Linked DNA regions of Saccharomyces cerevisiae S288C. The protein of the gene in region 2 purifies or fractionates together with the protein of the main gene of each other region. This does not show direct contact. Each region holds a gene or a part of one and is shown on either strand. Other genes may lie near its edges. The genes, in order: IRC20 and LYS14.

Evidence for each region.
Region 1: the proteins of LYS14 (region 2) and IRC20 purify together in Saccharomyces cerevisiae (affinity purification with mass spectrometry, with the first as the bait; one large-scale study listed by BioGRID). This does not show direct contact.

The regions. Positions count from the first base shown.
Region 1 is NC_001144.5:628,178-635,544, forward strand, and holds IRC20 (E3 ubiquitin-protein ligase IRC20), read right to left. Parts: upstream 5,178-7,367; coding exon 507-5,177; downstream 1-506. Other genes in the region: palmitoyltransferase ERF2, read left to right, coding at 1-20; serine/threonine protein kinase RCK2, read left to right, coding at 6,075-7,367. UniProt on the Saccharomyces cerevisiae protein: Is probably involved in a pathway contributing to genomic integrity.
Region 2 is NC_001136.10:509,048-514,176, forward strand, and holds LYS14 (Lys14p), read right to left. Parts: upstream 3,063-5,129; coding exon 690-3,062; downstream 1-689. Other genes in the region: MRH1 (Mrh1p), read left to right, coding at 1-62. UniProt on the Saccharomyces cerevisiae protein: Activates the transcription of lysine biosynthesis genes. This activation is dependent on the inducer alpha-aminoadipate semialdehyde and repressed by lysine.

The DNA.
Region 1 (7,367 bases), on a different chromosome or scaffold from region 2:
AAAAAATACAGAAAATATAAGGAAGTATAGATATAAAGAACTCAGCGACACAGTAGTACGTAAAATATAAAAAGGTTACTGAAAGGAGTGAATTCCGCCATAGTATAGGTTGAGTATACGCAAATAAACGTTGGAAATTGGCTAGAATGTTAAAAAAAACATTCATTAAAAGGTTCTTTTCGTATAACTTTTACAACAAATAAGTGGTTGTTTGGCCGAGCGGTCTAAGGCGCCTGATTCAAGAAAATATCTTGACTGCAGTTAACTGTAGGAATACTCAGGTATCGTAAGATGCAAGAGTTCGAATCTCTTAGCAACCATTATTTTTGCCTTCCGAAAATTTTGAAGCTACATATTAGCACTCTTCTTCAGATGTCAGACAACGTGCAGCATCTTTTTTTCCTACCATTGAATATATATATAGTAATTACGGCAACCGTTTATATAAAAATTCAAAAGATTAAATATTTTAATATATTAGTGTCTGGTTTAAAAGTCATACTTCTCTAATCACTACCGTGAAAAAAGCAGTTCCATAAGTGTTCATTACTGACTTCTTGGTCTACCACGCTTATCTCAAACTTCGCATCATCGCTTTCCTCATTATCCGTTTCATCTTGTGCTTCGTCGTATTTATCGCCTTTTTTTGACTTCTCCTTTCTTTTGCGCTCTTCGAGTATACATTTATATCTGAGGATGTTTTCTTCAACGGTATTTCTGATCATGAAATTCCACACAAAAGTTTCTTCATCTTGTCCTATACGATTATTCCTTCCCATAGCTTGTAATTCATCACTATTATTAAGGATAGGATCTAGTAGGAAAATATGTTTTGCATTTATCAAATTCAGGCCGGCACCTAAAGTTTTCACATTCAAAAGTAGGCAAGTGACGGAAGGCTGGCGTTTGAAGTTATTTATAGTTTCGCCAACATTGGCTGTATTAGATAGACATGCCAAGTGTTCAATGTGATACAACTTTAATACCTTACCAATGACCTTTAAATATTCTGTCTTTTGAGAGTATAGAATAACTTGTGGCGGATCAGCGTTTTCCTGCTCACTTTTTAGCCTCAGGTAAGATATTAACTTGATGACGAAATCAATCTTAGCACCAAAACTTTCCTTTATGTGAATTTGATGGACTTCATTAATTTGATGGAATTGCTCGTATTTATTTCCGAATAATTTTTCTACTTCACTCATATTGGATATAATCGAGTTTTCATTTGAATTATCTTGAGACGAATCGGCGCCCTCTCTTCGTGGCTCTTGAATTTCTTTTTCCCTCTTCTCCGTTGAGTTCTTGAACTTAAAGTTATAGACTTCCGATATACTACAGAAACCTTTGCATATAGGGCATTTACTATGGGCTCGTAGCCACGTAAGGATACAACTCTTGCAAAAATAATGTCCACACTTAATGATAGCACCTATTTCAACTTCTCCCAAACAGATAGAGCAGCTCAATATTTGATTATCGTTTAATGTGTCTTTCAATCTGGACAAATTTTTTAAATATATCAGCCGTGATTCAATGTTATTGATTTTTGCATCTAGTGTACCGCCCAATGACTTATTGATAGTTCTTATTAGATGGCTGAGTTGTGGAGCACTCAAAGAGTGCAAGGACACCAATGAATCGGAAATCCTCTGTAATTGACTATAATATTCCGTCTTGGCATTATAAATCGATCCCAGGATTTTCAAAGATTCTCTTACCTGTTTATTGTACTTAAACAGGCTTTTACTTTCAACTTCGTACTGAAGTAAGTAGTCCTCAAAATTTTGAATGGTAGATTCACTTTCATTGCTTGAGGATATCCGTCTTACTATCCTGCTGTTCTTCAGTTCATCAAAAACAGTTCGTAGAGGTGTTCCTGAAATCAAGCGCAAGCTGTTCAATAACTGCTTTTGATATTTTGAAATTATTGAACCTTCCGGTACCAAATGCTTCGGAATTTTAACTTCTGATTCTGAAGTTAAAATATTGTCCCTATTCTGTAAAATTATCTCCAAGCAACCAAGAAGACTGAATATCTTATCTTGACTGTCAATCGATGTTGAATATTCTTCATTACCGATAATTTTATTAGTGCTATCATCGTCCTCTGTCCTGTGGACAGGTTCATAGATAATAATGAGTAACTCATCCAATAACTCGTTGAAGTTTTTAGTTTGTTCATTCAACCCTTCTATCAACTTACTCAAAGACTTGAAACAACGAGATACTGCTAAATTAGATGAGTAGTCATTTTTGTGGTCAAATTCAATATTGATTAATCGCAAAGGTATATTGCTCGTCATAGGAGCAAACTTAGTTCTGGCCATTTTAATAGTCATATCAACTTTTCTAGCCTCAGAGGAGAGGATTGACTTCCTCAAAATTTCTGCATTCGCATAATTTTCTTGTTCTAAAAGTCTATTCTCTTCAATTTCCTCTAACTCATTTTTTGGAAAAACATCAGAATACACCACTTCTTCAGTCTTCTCTTTTCGATGCTTGTCGTCCGCCTCTTCTAGCTTACGAGTGCCCAAGTTATAGTAAACAGAACCGAGGAAGAAGTAGCAATCATGCAGTAAATTCATCATAGCACGTAATCCTTTCTTCTTCAGGTGGTTGGATAACATTCCGTCATTGTTGTGATTATCATGGTTTTTAGCACCATTTATTTCTCTATCGCTTTCGTCGCCTGAAGATGTTTCCTTCTCACCAAACCTCTCGTCCATATGTTCGTCCTCATCTTCACTGAGGTTTAACGACTTATCAAACGGATCCTCAACGTTGAATTTTTGGCGTATGTGTATCATCAAATCATCTCTGATTTTGATAAATGATTCAAGGGCTTTGGCCGGAGTATTGGAAATTTCAAGTTCATACTGTGCCTGCTTGATCGATAAATGGAATCTCTCTCTGTAATAGCCAATTAAACTGTCAAATGCATCCATTCGCATGGATATTAAGATATCGTCTATATTTGAAATTCTTGACAAGTGCCCGTGAAGGCGCTTCTGTCGGGTACTTAAAATTTCTGGAAATAATGCATGGCAACATATATATCGCAGCCTAGACAACCATTCGTTTAAAAAGGCATTGCTTACACGGGGTGATCCACTGCCATCCGAATTATAGCCACTCAACTCTAAAAAATTGTTCCAAAGATTTAAATAGTTGTCCCACTCGATAGGCGCAAACTCCAGGGGAATGATGAAGTTGTGTTGCCGCGGAATATGAATCTGAGACGCAACATTGGCTTTCGAATGCCTTATGCAAAGATCATACCTGTAAAAAATGTTCATACAATCCTTGATAGAAAACCGAACGCCCTTTAATTGGCATACAAAATCATTACTAGTGTAATCTTTAGCCTCATTTCTTAGTTTAATTTCTTCTTGAAGTGTCCGAATAAAGTCTACCTCATCACAAAATGGATGCAGCTTTAAATAAGACATGATCATCCTAAAGTTGTAAATGTTCTGTATTGGAGTCCCGGAAACACCCCAAGTGTGTATTCTATGAAGTAAACTCGTGCATTTTGCAGAATATGTTGATGAACTACGTAGCATTTGAACTTCATCCAGAATGATTCTATAAAACTGCATCAAAGCTAACGGTGAAGAATAGTCATACTTTGGGCTTTTCAACCTTCTCGATCTGATACTACGGTTAAACTCAGCATGATGGACCTCCGTGGCAATAATGTTATATGATGTAACTATAATATCGTATTGGCACAATTGTTGAACAGCTTCGTCCACAGTTTTGCAATCTTTCATTATCTCATTATATCCTCTATAGGTATACCATTTTAAGGAATTTGCGTGTAATTCGATTTCTTCGAGCCATTGTTTTAAGATAGCATTGGGACAGATAATCAAAGTCGTCTTTGTCTTCGTGATTGTTCTATTTTCATCGTCAATAAATGTTGCCTCTGAGTCCTTCAATTTCCTTCTATTTAAGAGTATTAGTGATAAAATTTCAATAGTTTTGCCCAACCCCATCTCTTCTGCTAACACCCCCTTTGCACAAACTGGGTAGTCGCCGCTTAACCTTTCCTTCCTATATTGGTTGTACAAATGTGCAGCATCTTCTGTAGTTAGAATATATCCTGTTAATTTGTTCCATAACAATGATGGCCCTACCTCGTCAGGGCTGCGTGCAATGAGCTCGTAACCGTATGCATAGTACTCGTTCATAAAATCTATAAGCCCTACTTCGTCGATGACTGTAGGTGTATCACTAAGAGAATTACCATGCCCTTCTTTAATTAGCATCCACTCAACGCTCTCTCTTTGAAATGGTAAGAGGTTAACTTTTAGGTCTGGTATAGATTGGGGTAAGAACGGTTTGATCTTTGATAGCCTATCTTTACTATATTCCAAGATTTGAGAAATAAATTGTTTTTGAATGAAGTTTGAATGGATATGGCTGTGCTTGTGATATCGCTCAAATTCGTTCTCGTCCCTATTAGAGAACGTCAAGTCCAGTATTTGGTTAGCCTCCACGGAAAACCGGTTGAATTTATTATTTAAAAACTTCAACTTCAAATTAAAAGATAAAACCCATGTTAAAGAGGAATCATTGTATCGGAATACGACTGGAGAGCATTCAAAATCTTTGTAGGACAAAGATAATTCGTGTATACGACTTTTTAGTAATTTTTCAGGATCGTTAACATTTGAATTTTTTTTTCTTCTCTTTCTTGATGGTTTGCGTTCTAAAGATTTACGATTTTCTAACTGATTTCGTAGGGCCCTTTCTTGGTTTTTATGAGCACATATATCCAAGATCAGCGGAAGTTGTTTGTCAACAGCGATTTTTGAATTGTTCTCCATTTTAAATCCAATTTGAAATAAGGATACGGAATCTGACGACACAACAAGTGTTGCCTCGTTATCATTTTCACAAGGTAAGATCTCTATATCAACAATAAATTTAAATAACTGCCTACCGTTGTTGGAAAGACTTATTCGCTCTGGTATTTCGATATTTACCGAGGCAACGTTGATTAATTCTTTTCCGTTCTTGCTAACTTTTTGAGTTACAGTCTCTTGTTCCTGATTTAGCGCTGGCAATGCTGCTATCACTGAATCAAAAGAACCATTTTCTAGGAAAAAGTCGCATTTTTCGGCAGTCACGTTGTACTCCCTTGCTAATAGCGCACCTACTGCAGACATTTACCGTCGAATAAGTTGGCCTTTCCTGGAGTTCATTCCTTTAGACAGCGCCTAGAAAGTGGCAAATCAATACATTCATCAGCCACATTTCATCAGCTGTAGATCTGGAAAAGACGGGTAGCAGTTCGAGTGTTCCGAAAAAGGAAAAAACGAGCCTTATCCTTGGTCAGAGATGCGAGCAGGTAATTCCTTGAGCTCTCATAGGAGTGAAGCTATCCCAGACTCCTTGGATGTCCCTGTATTTGCGGTCAAGTTTGTTCTTTGACTGGTTCGTCATTTCGAGCTCACTTAAAAACAGGAGTTATTCAGCTACATCTTCAAGCTAATAAAACATCCGTTGCGCAGGCACTCTTTTTAGTAGTTGCCATTTCCTTTATTCTTGAAAGTACGAAGGCTGAAAAAGAGCCACTACGATCCAAAAAATCACCGTTAGTTTTAGTCGTCCACGAGTACGTTGGCATAAAGTCTAGTAATCTTTTTACTTTATAGCAATCAAGAGAAAAAAGGAGGATAAAGGGACATTTATTTGTTATTGTTTTTTGTTCTTTTTAAACTTTTTTACTGGCTAGGTTTAAGGTTATAATTATAAATCCAGTGATTAAGAGGAAACCTCGTCAAGAATCCTAGATAATAGTAATCAGCGACAGTTATTTCAACGAAGTCAAACTCTATCTCTGGGGCTTTATCTCTCCTATTGACATCTAACTTTTTACAAACGCTTACTAGAAAAGACGGATCGGCCAAAGAAAAAAAAAGAGTGACATCGAAAAAATTAAAGAAAATAAAATCCCAGATAGTTCATACGTTATTTGAAGTACAAACATTTAACGATTGGAAAAGACGAAAGTATTGTTAAGAGTACTGCTTATTTAGAGAGGATCAAACAAAATCTCTTCGATGCTTAAAATAAAGGCCCTTTTCTCGAAAAAGAAACCGGATCAGGCAGATTTGTCTCAGGAATCTAAAAAACCATTCAAGGGTAAGACCAGGTCAAGCGGTACAAATAACAAAGATGTTTCCCAGATTACTTCTTCCCCTAAGAAAAGCTTTCAGGACAAAAATATAGTTCAGTACCCGAGTGTTGTCGCAGATGACCATCATATGAAGTCTTTAACCGATGAATTAGTAACCACGATAGACTCGGACTCTTCACCGAGTGATAATATTACCACGGAAAATGTGGAAACAGTTACTTCCGTGCCAGCTATCGATGTCCATGAAAGTAGTGAAGGTCAATTAAGTTCCGACCCCTTAATATCTGACGAATCTCTTTCGGAACAAAGCGAGATTATCAGTGATATCCAGGATGACAGTACTGATGATGACAATATGGAAGATGAAATTCCGGAAAAATCCTTCCTCGAACAAAAGGAATTGATAGGTTACAAGCTGATCAATAAAATCGGTGAAGGTGCTTTTTCAAAAGTCTTTAGAGCCATACCTGCTAAAAATAGTTCTAATGAATTTTTAACTAAAAACTATAAAGCTGTTGCCATTAAAGTTATCAAAAAGGCAGATTTATCCTCGATTAATGGTGATCATCGTAAGAAGGACAAAGGGAAGGACAGCACTAAAACTTCTTCCAGAGATCAAGTCTTGAAGGAAGTTGCACTACATAAGACGGTTTCCGCTGGTTGTTCACAAATTGTCGCGTTCATAGACTTCCAAGAAACAGATAGCTATTATTATATTATTCAAGAGTTACTAACCGGTGGGGAAATCTTCGGCGAAATTGTTAGGTTGACCTATTTCAGTGAAGATTTATCAAGGCATGTAATCAAACAATTAGCACTGGCTGTTAAACATATGCATTCACTAGGTGTAGTGCATCGTGATATAAAACCTGAGAATCTTCTTTTTGAACCGATTGAATTCACACGCTCTATAAAACCAAAATTGAGGAAATCGGATGATCCGCAAACAAAGGCAGACGAGGGAATTTTCACACCAGGAGTTGGTGGTGGTGGAATTGGTATAGTAAAACTAGCTGATTTTGGTTTGTCTAAACAAATATTTTCCAAGAACACCAAGACTCCTTGTGGTACAGTCGGTTACACTGCCCCTGAAGTTGTCAAAGATGAGCATTATTCTATGAAAGTGGATATGTGGGGGATTGGTTGCGTTTTGTACACAATGTTATGTGGGTTCCCGCCATTCTATGATGAGAAAATTGACACTTTAACTGAAAAA
Region 2 (5,129 bases):
ACAAGAAAAAGAAGTCTAAGAAGAGCAAGAAATCTAAGAAGTCTAAGAAGTCTGAAGAATAAGCCAATCGTCATGTCAATTATGTGCTACTTTCTTCTTTCTTTCAATCATCTTTGAAGAATTTTCTACTTCAAGCCAATCCTATAAATGGATAAAACTGTCTTTATTGATTATTTGACAAGATTATTTTACTCCATCTTCAACTTTTATCATATTTTATTTTATTTTCCTGACGTTTCAATATTTTCGTTCGTTAAATTATCACCATTTCTTGTCGAATTTTTATTTTCTATCATAAAGTGCAATTCTAGACTCATTTTTTAATTTAATGGATCCATTTAATCCATTTCGTCAAGCAAGTATGTTTTCATAACAATATTTTGCTCAGTGCATTTTGATCAAGAAACGTATAGTTGATGATTAGAAACGAGCTTTTTTATGCCCATCGTCATCTATATATATATTTGTATCACTTTAATAGTTATTTTAATATTTGATAACAACCTTTCTAATAGTATTGTTATGGAAGGTTTAGTGCTGGAGGAAAAAAAAGAAAGATAAAGGCACGGTGCCTGCTTTGCGCGGCATTCTCGAGAAAAATAGTTCTCGGACTTTTGACGTGCCAGTGCAATTATCCGTACACAATTTTATATCAATCTACAGGCAAAATTATTACGTAAACAGACAAACTACCATGTTAAAACGTCTTGTTCTTCTAACCTGTAATTTTGATTTTTACCATACCAGACCTTTTCCAGTCTGTTAAGATTATGTTCTGTGAGCTTTTGAAATTTTCCACCATTGATTTTATAATATCTTTTAACAATCGCTCTTGTTTCCTCGTCCATTGCATTCAAACCTGCAATCAATACAGCAAAATTACTATAACAAGTCCTTGAATTTTGTGGCGGCGAGTCACTGTCTAAGAATTTGAAGAAAGACATGATTTTCTTGACCACTTGTTGAATGGTACTTGACTCTTTTGGCATACCTAAAAGTTTTAATAATACAATTAATAAGAAAGATAAAACTTGTGTCTGATGAGAAATATCATACCAGCTGATGGCAACTTCTTCACCGTTCTTTAATGTCACCATATCGATGGCATTATCATGAATATTACTAATTCTAGGGTGTGACTGATTGTCTGAGGGTATAATTCCAGATTTGTCAATAAATTCGTAATCTAATTGCTTGTCAATTTCCACTAGAATTTTCTGCGTATTGAAATATGATATCTGGTCTTTGGACTTTTCGGACGAAGTTTGGGATGATAAAAGCAGATAGTCTAATTTCTTAGTGAACAAACCTTCTTCTTTAGAAAAGTAATTTTTTTCAGTTGACCTAATTGTATTGAGTGATTTGAAAACTTCTTTAATAACAAGATCGAAATCTTCTTTATGTCCTCTTAAAAGATTAAACTCATTTAGTGGAGTCATAATATTTAAAAATTTTAACGAGTCAACATATTGGTAATCATATGGATCAAAAATTGCATCAAGGTCATTATTATCAATTAAAGATCCGCCAAATACCGTACTTATACTGGCGAATGTTTCCATAACTTTAAACCAACATTTTGCAACGTTAAGTACTTTGGAGGAATTCCCGGCATTGATTTTTTTAAAAAGGTCAGTTACACCTTTTAAGTGAGACCTCCATTGAGAATTCATTGAATAAATACAATCCCATGCAAGCATGATGACCGTCAGGATGATAGGCTCTATCCTATTTAAAACGTTTGACTCATTCTTGAATTGTTCACCCAACAGGCTCAGGCAATGTGACAAATAAGCACAATAGTTTCGTTCATCTTCCAAGTTATTAGACTTTCTATATGCTATAGATGCTCCCGTAGCTAATATGGAAGATAAAAGATAGGCCTCGTTTTTCGCAAATGAAAGTAAGATATCTCTTAACGGGTTCCCTTGATTTTGGAAAAAGGGCGCAATAGAATCTAAGCAATCGTAGTAAAATATCTTTAGATACTTATCGTGGATTCCACCTAGTTTGAACGAGCTTAGTTTTGTGTTGAAAGTTATTACATTATTCACCAGAAAGGATATTGGTACGCTACTGTTCACATTCGAAGCGGGCAAAAGTTCAGGTATGTCCAAATCGGGCAAATCTAATCCTTTCAGTTCTTCATTCAATAAGTAAGAGTCATGAAGTTTCATATTAACCATATCATTCAAGTTCTGCATTAGTAAATTAACGTCATATCCATTCATTGTGGTGGTAAGGTCCAAATTTGGAATCTCTAGGGATTCTATTTCATCCAAAGGTACATTCTTGCCGTTATCTGTAATCGGTTTAGGGTCCGTGGTGTCTTCACTTAAATTTTGTCGTACTTTTTTCTTCTTCTCAGCCTTGCATGACGAATGCTGACGCTTGCGAGCATTATTATGATCATTATCGAGGCTAGTACTGTGCTTCCTAAATTCTTTTACTCTTTGAGCATTTGAGGTTCTTCTTTTCTTATTTTTTGGGTTTAAAACGTAAACGCACTGACGATTCAATCTTGCGCACTGCCAACAAGTCGGTTTAGTTTCATCACATTTCATTCTTCGTCTCTTACACTCGGAGCACCCATTTCTGGAGTACTTCCGTTTTACTGTATTTCCCTTCTTATCCGTAACAGTTGAAGTTACAGCAGGATTAGGGGTCAACGATGAGTGTCCATTATCATCTGCCTGTGAAATAGTGGGGTGATCTGCATTTTGATCTTGCTCTGAAGTAGTGGGATGACCTGCATTTTCATTACTGCCGTCATTACTACTTGTGGTCGATTCTACATTTTCGCCTCCTATATTCGAATTTGACGGCGAGGTCATCTGTTTATGATTAAAAATGCCACCTAAAGATCCCGCTCTAGCATTTAAAAACGATAAGGAGGGTAGATTGTTTTTTGGTTCAAAGCAACTAGTTGAAGTCCCACTATTTGTGAACGATGAACCACTGTCTAGTGAAGCTGGAGAAAGATAACTACCCGGTGGGGACAAAACCTTAGCCAGTTCTCTATCCTCTGGAGAATTTTCATCCAAATTGACAGATTCGAACATTATTGCCAGAAAACAGATCTTATACCAAAATGATGAGAGAAGGAAGAAACAGGGAGATAAGGACTAAAAAGGAAAATTTATCTAGCAACGTTCACAGCAATTCCTGTAGCTACGTGATGACCTCTGCTGGGCTTTTCTTATTCGCCTAGACTGAAGTGATGCAGAACAATAAGCATTCTAATCGGCCTATGGTTATGATTTTGAAATTCCTGAGGAAATTTTTCCACTGTCATTTCTTCCAATTGAGTCACGTCGCGTCCTCGTAGGCAATGATGTGCAACTTGAAGCGCGGAATTCACGGCTAAGAAGGTGTCGTTTTATTCATACCGTGCTGTAACGCTGTTTGGTCATCGTTTCCTTGTGTTATCAAATAAGTGAGGCCCTGTCTCTGTGATCTATACCAGCAGTCGCCTAATTTCGTAATACGTTATTGTAGACAACAATTTCTTGAAAAAGAGAGAATGTGTCTGGCTTGCAGGAAAAGAAGATGGTGACATATGCTTAGACGAGATTGTACATTCTGCATAATATAGCGAGTCAGAGCACATGTTTAGACAATATCTGATTTAAATTTCAAAATTAGGGATGTATATTCTAAATGTTTATGCGCTTAATACTATCGATGATTTCTGAATGGTTGCCTGTTTCAATGAATCCTTTAGAATAAAGAACATTTTTGAGCATTGTGTAATTTATTTAGCAAGGAGTAAAAGCCAAGCGTATATTATGGTGATTTTTTTTATCATGCTTTTGAGTAACGGGTAATGACATACATTAGTGACATATGCTAGAAATTATCCTCAGATTTTAGAAGGCTACTTCAAAATGTTGATAATAACCATAAATAATATTATAATTTTTTTCTTCTTTTCCTTTTCAGGAGTAGGTAAATATTGAGGTAATTCTTGAGTTTCAATGTTGGTAAAAGACTATAGCATTGGGTATACAGAGTTTACTAGAACACCTCCTCAGGGATATAGGAATCTGCACAAGGGAATTGACATTTCAAACATTTCAAGTAATATTGTTATTTTTCTTTTCATTTTATGTGTTGTCAGTCATTAACCTATCATATTATCAATCACTGCATTCAGATTCCATTAGATTTGATGGCAGTTTCTCAATCTTTATGTGCTCTTCTTACACCATTGAGAAATGGGTGAATGTTGAGATAATTGTTGGGATTCCATTTTTGATAAAGGCTATAATATTAGGTATATAGGGTATACTAGAAGTTCTCCTCGAGGGTCTAGGAATCCCCATAATGGAATCTATATTTCTATATACCAATATTAAGATTATTCCTCATTCCGTTTTATATGTTTCATTATCCTATTACATTATCAATCCTTGCACTTCAGCTTCCTCTAACTTCGATGACAGCTTCTCATAACTTATGTCATCATCTTAACACCGTATATGATAATATATTGATAGTATAACTATTAGTTGATAGACGATAGTGGATTTTTATTCTAACAACCATATATAATAATATACCAGTAACACGAATAGTACTTAATAGACGATATTTATATAATAGTGTCCTTCTTCCTAAGATTATATGATGCACAAGAAATGTTGAGAATGTGGATTTTGAGATAATTGTTGGGATTCCATTTTTAATAAGGCAATAATATTAGGTATGTAGATATACTAGAAGTTCTCCTCGAGGATTTAGGAATCCATAAAAGGGAATCTGCAATTCTACACAATTCTATAAATATTATTATCATCATTTTATATGTTAATATTCATTGATCCTATTACATTATCAATCCTTGCGTTTCAGCTTCCACTAATTTAGATGACTATTTCTCATCATTTGCGTCATCTTCTAACACCGTATATGATAATATACTAGTAACGTAAATACTAGTTAGTAGATGATAGTTGATTTTTATTCCAACATACCACCCATAATGTAATAGATCTAATGAATCCATTTGTTAGTTAATAGTTTAAATGTTTTTATCGGAAGAGGTTTTGTCATCACATCAGCAATGTTCTTCTTGGTCTCGATGTAGTATACGTATAAATTATTACCTGATACTTCATCTCTAAGTC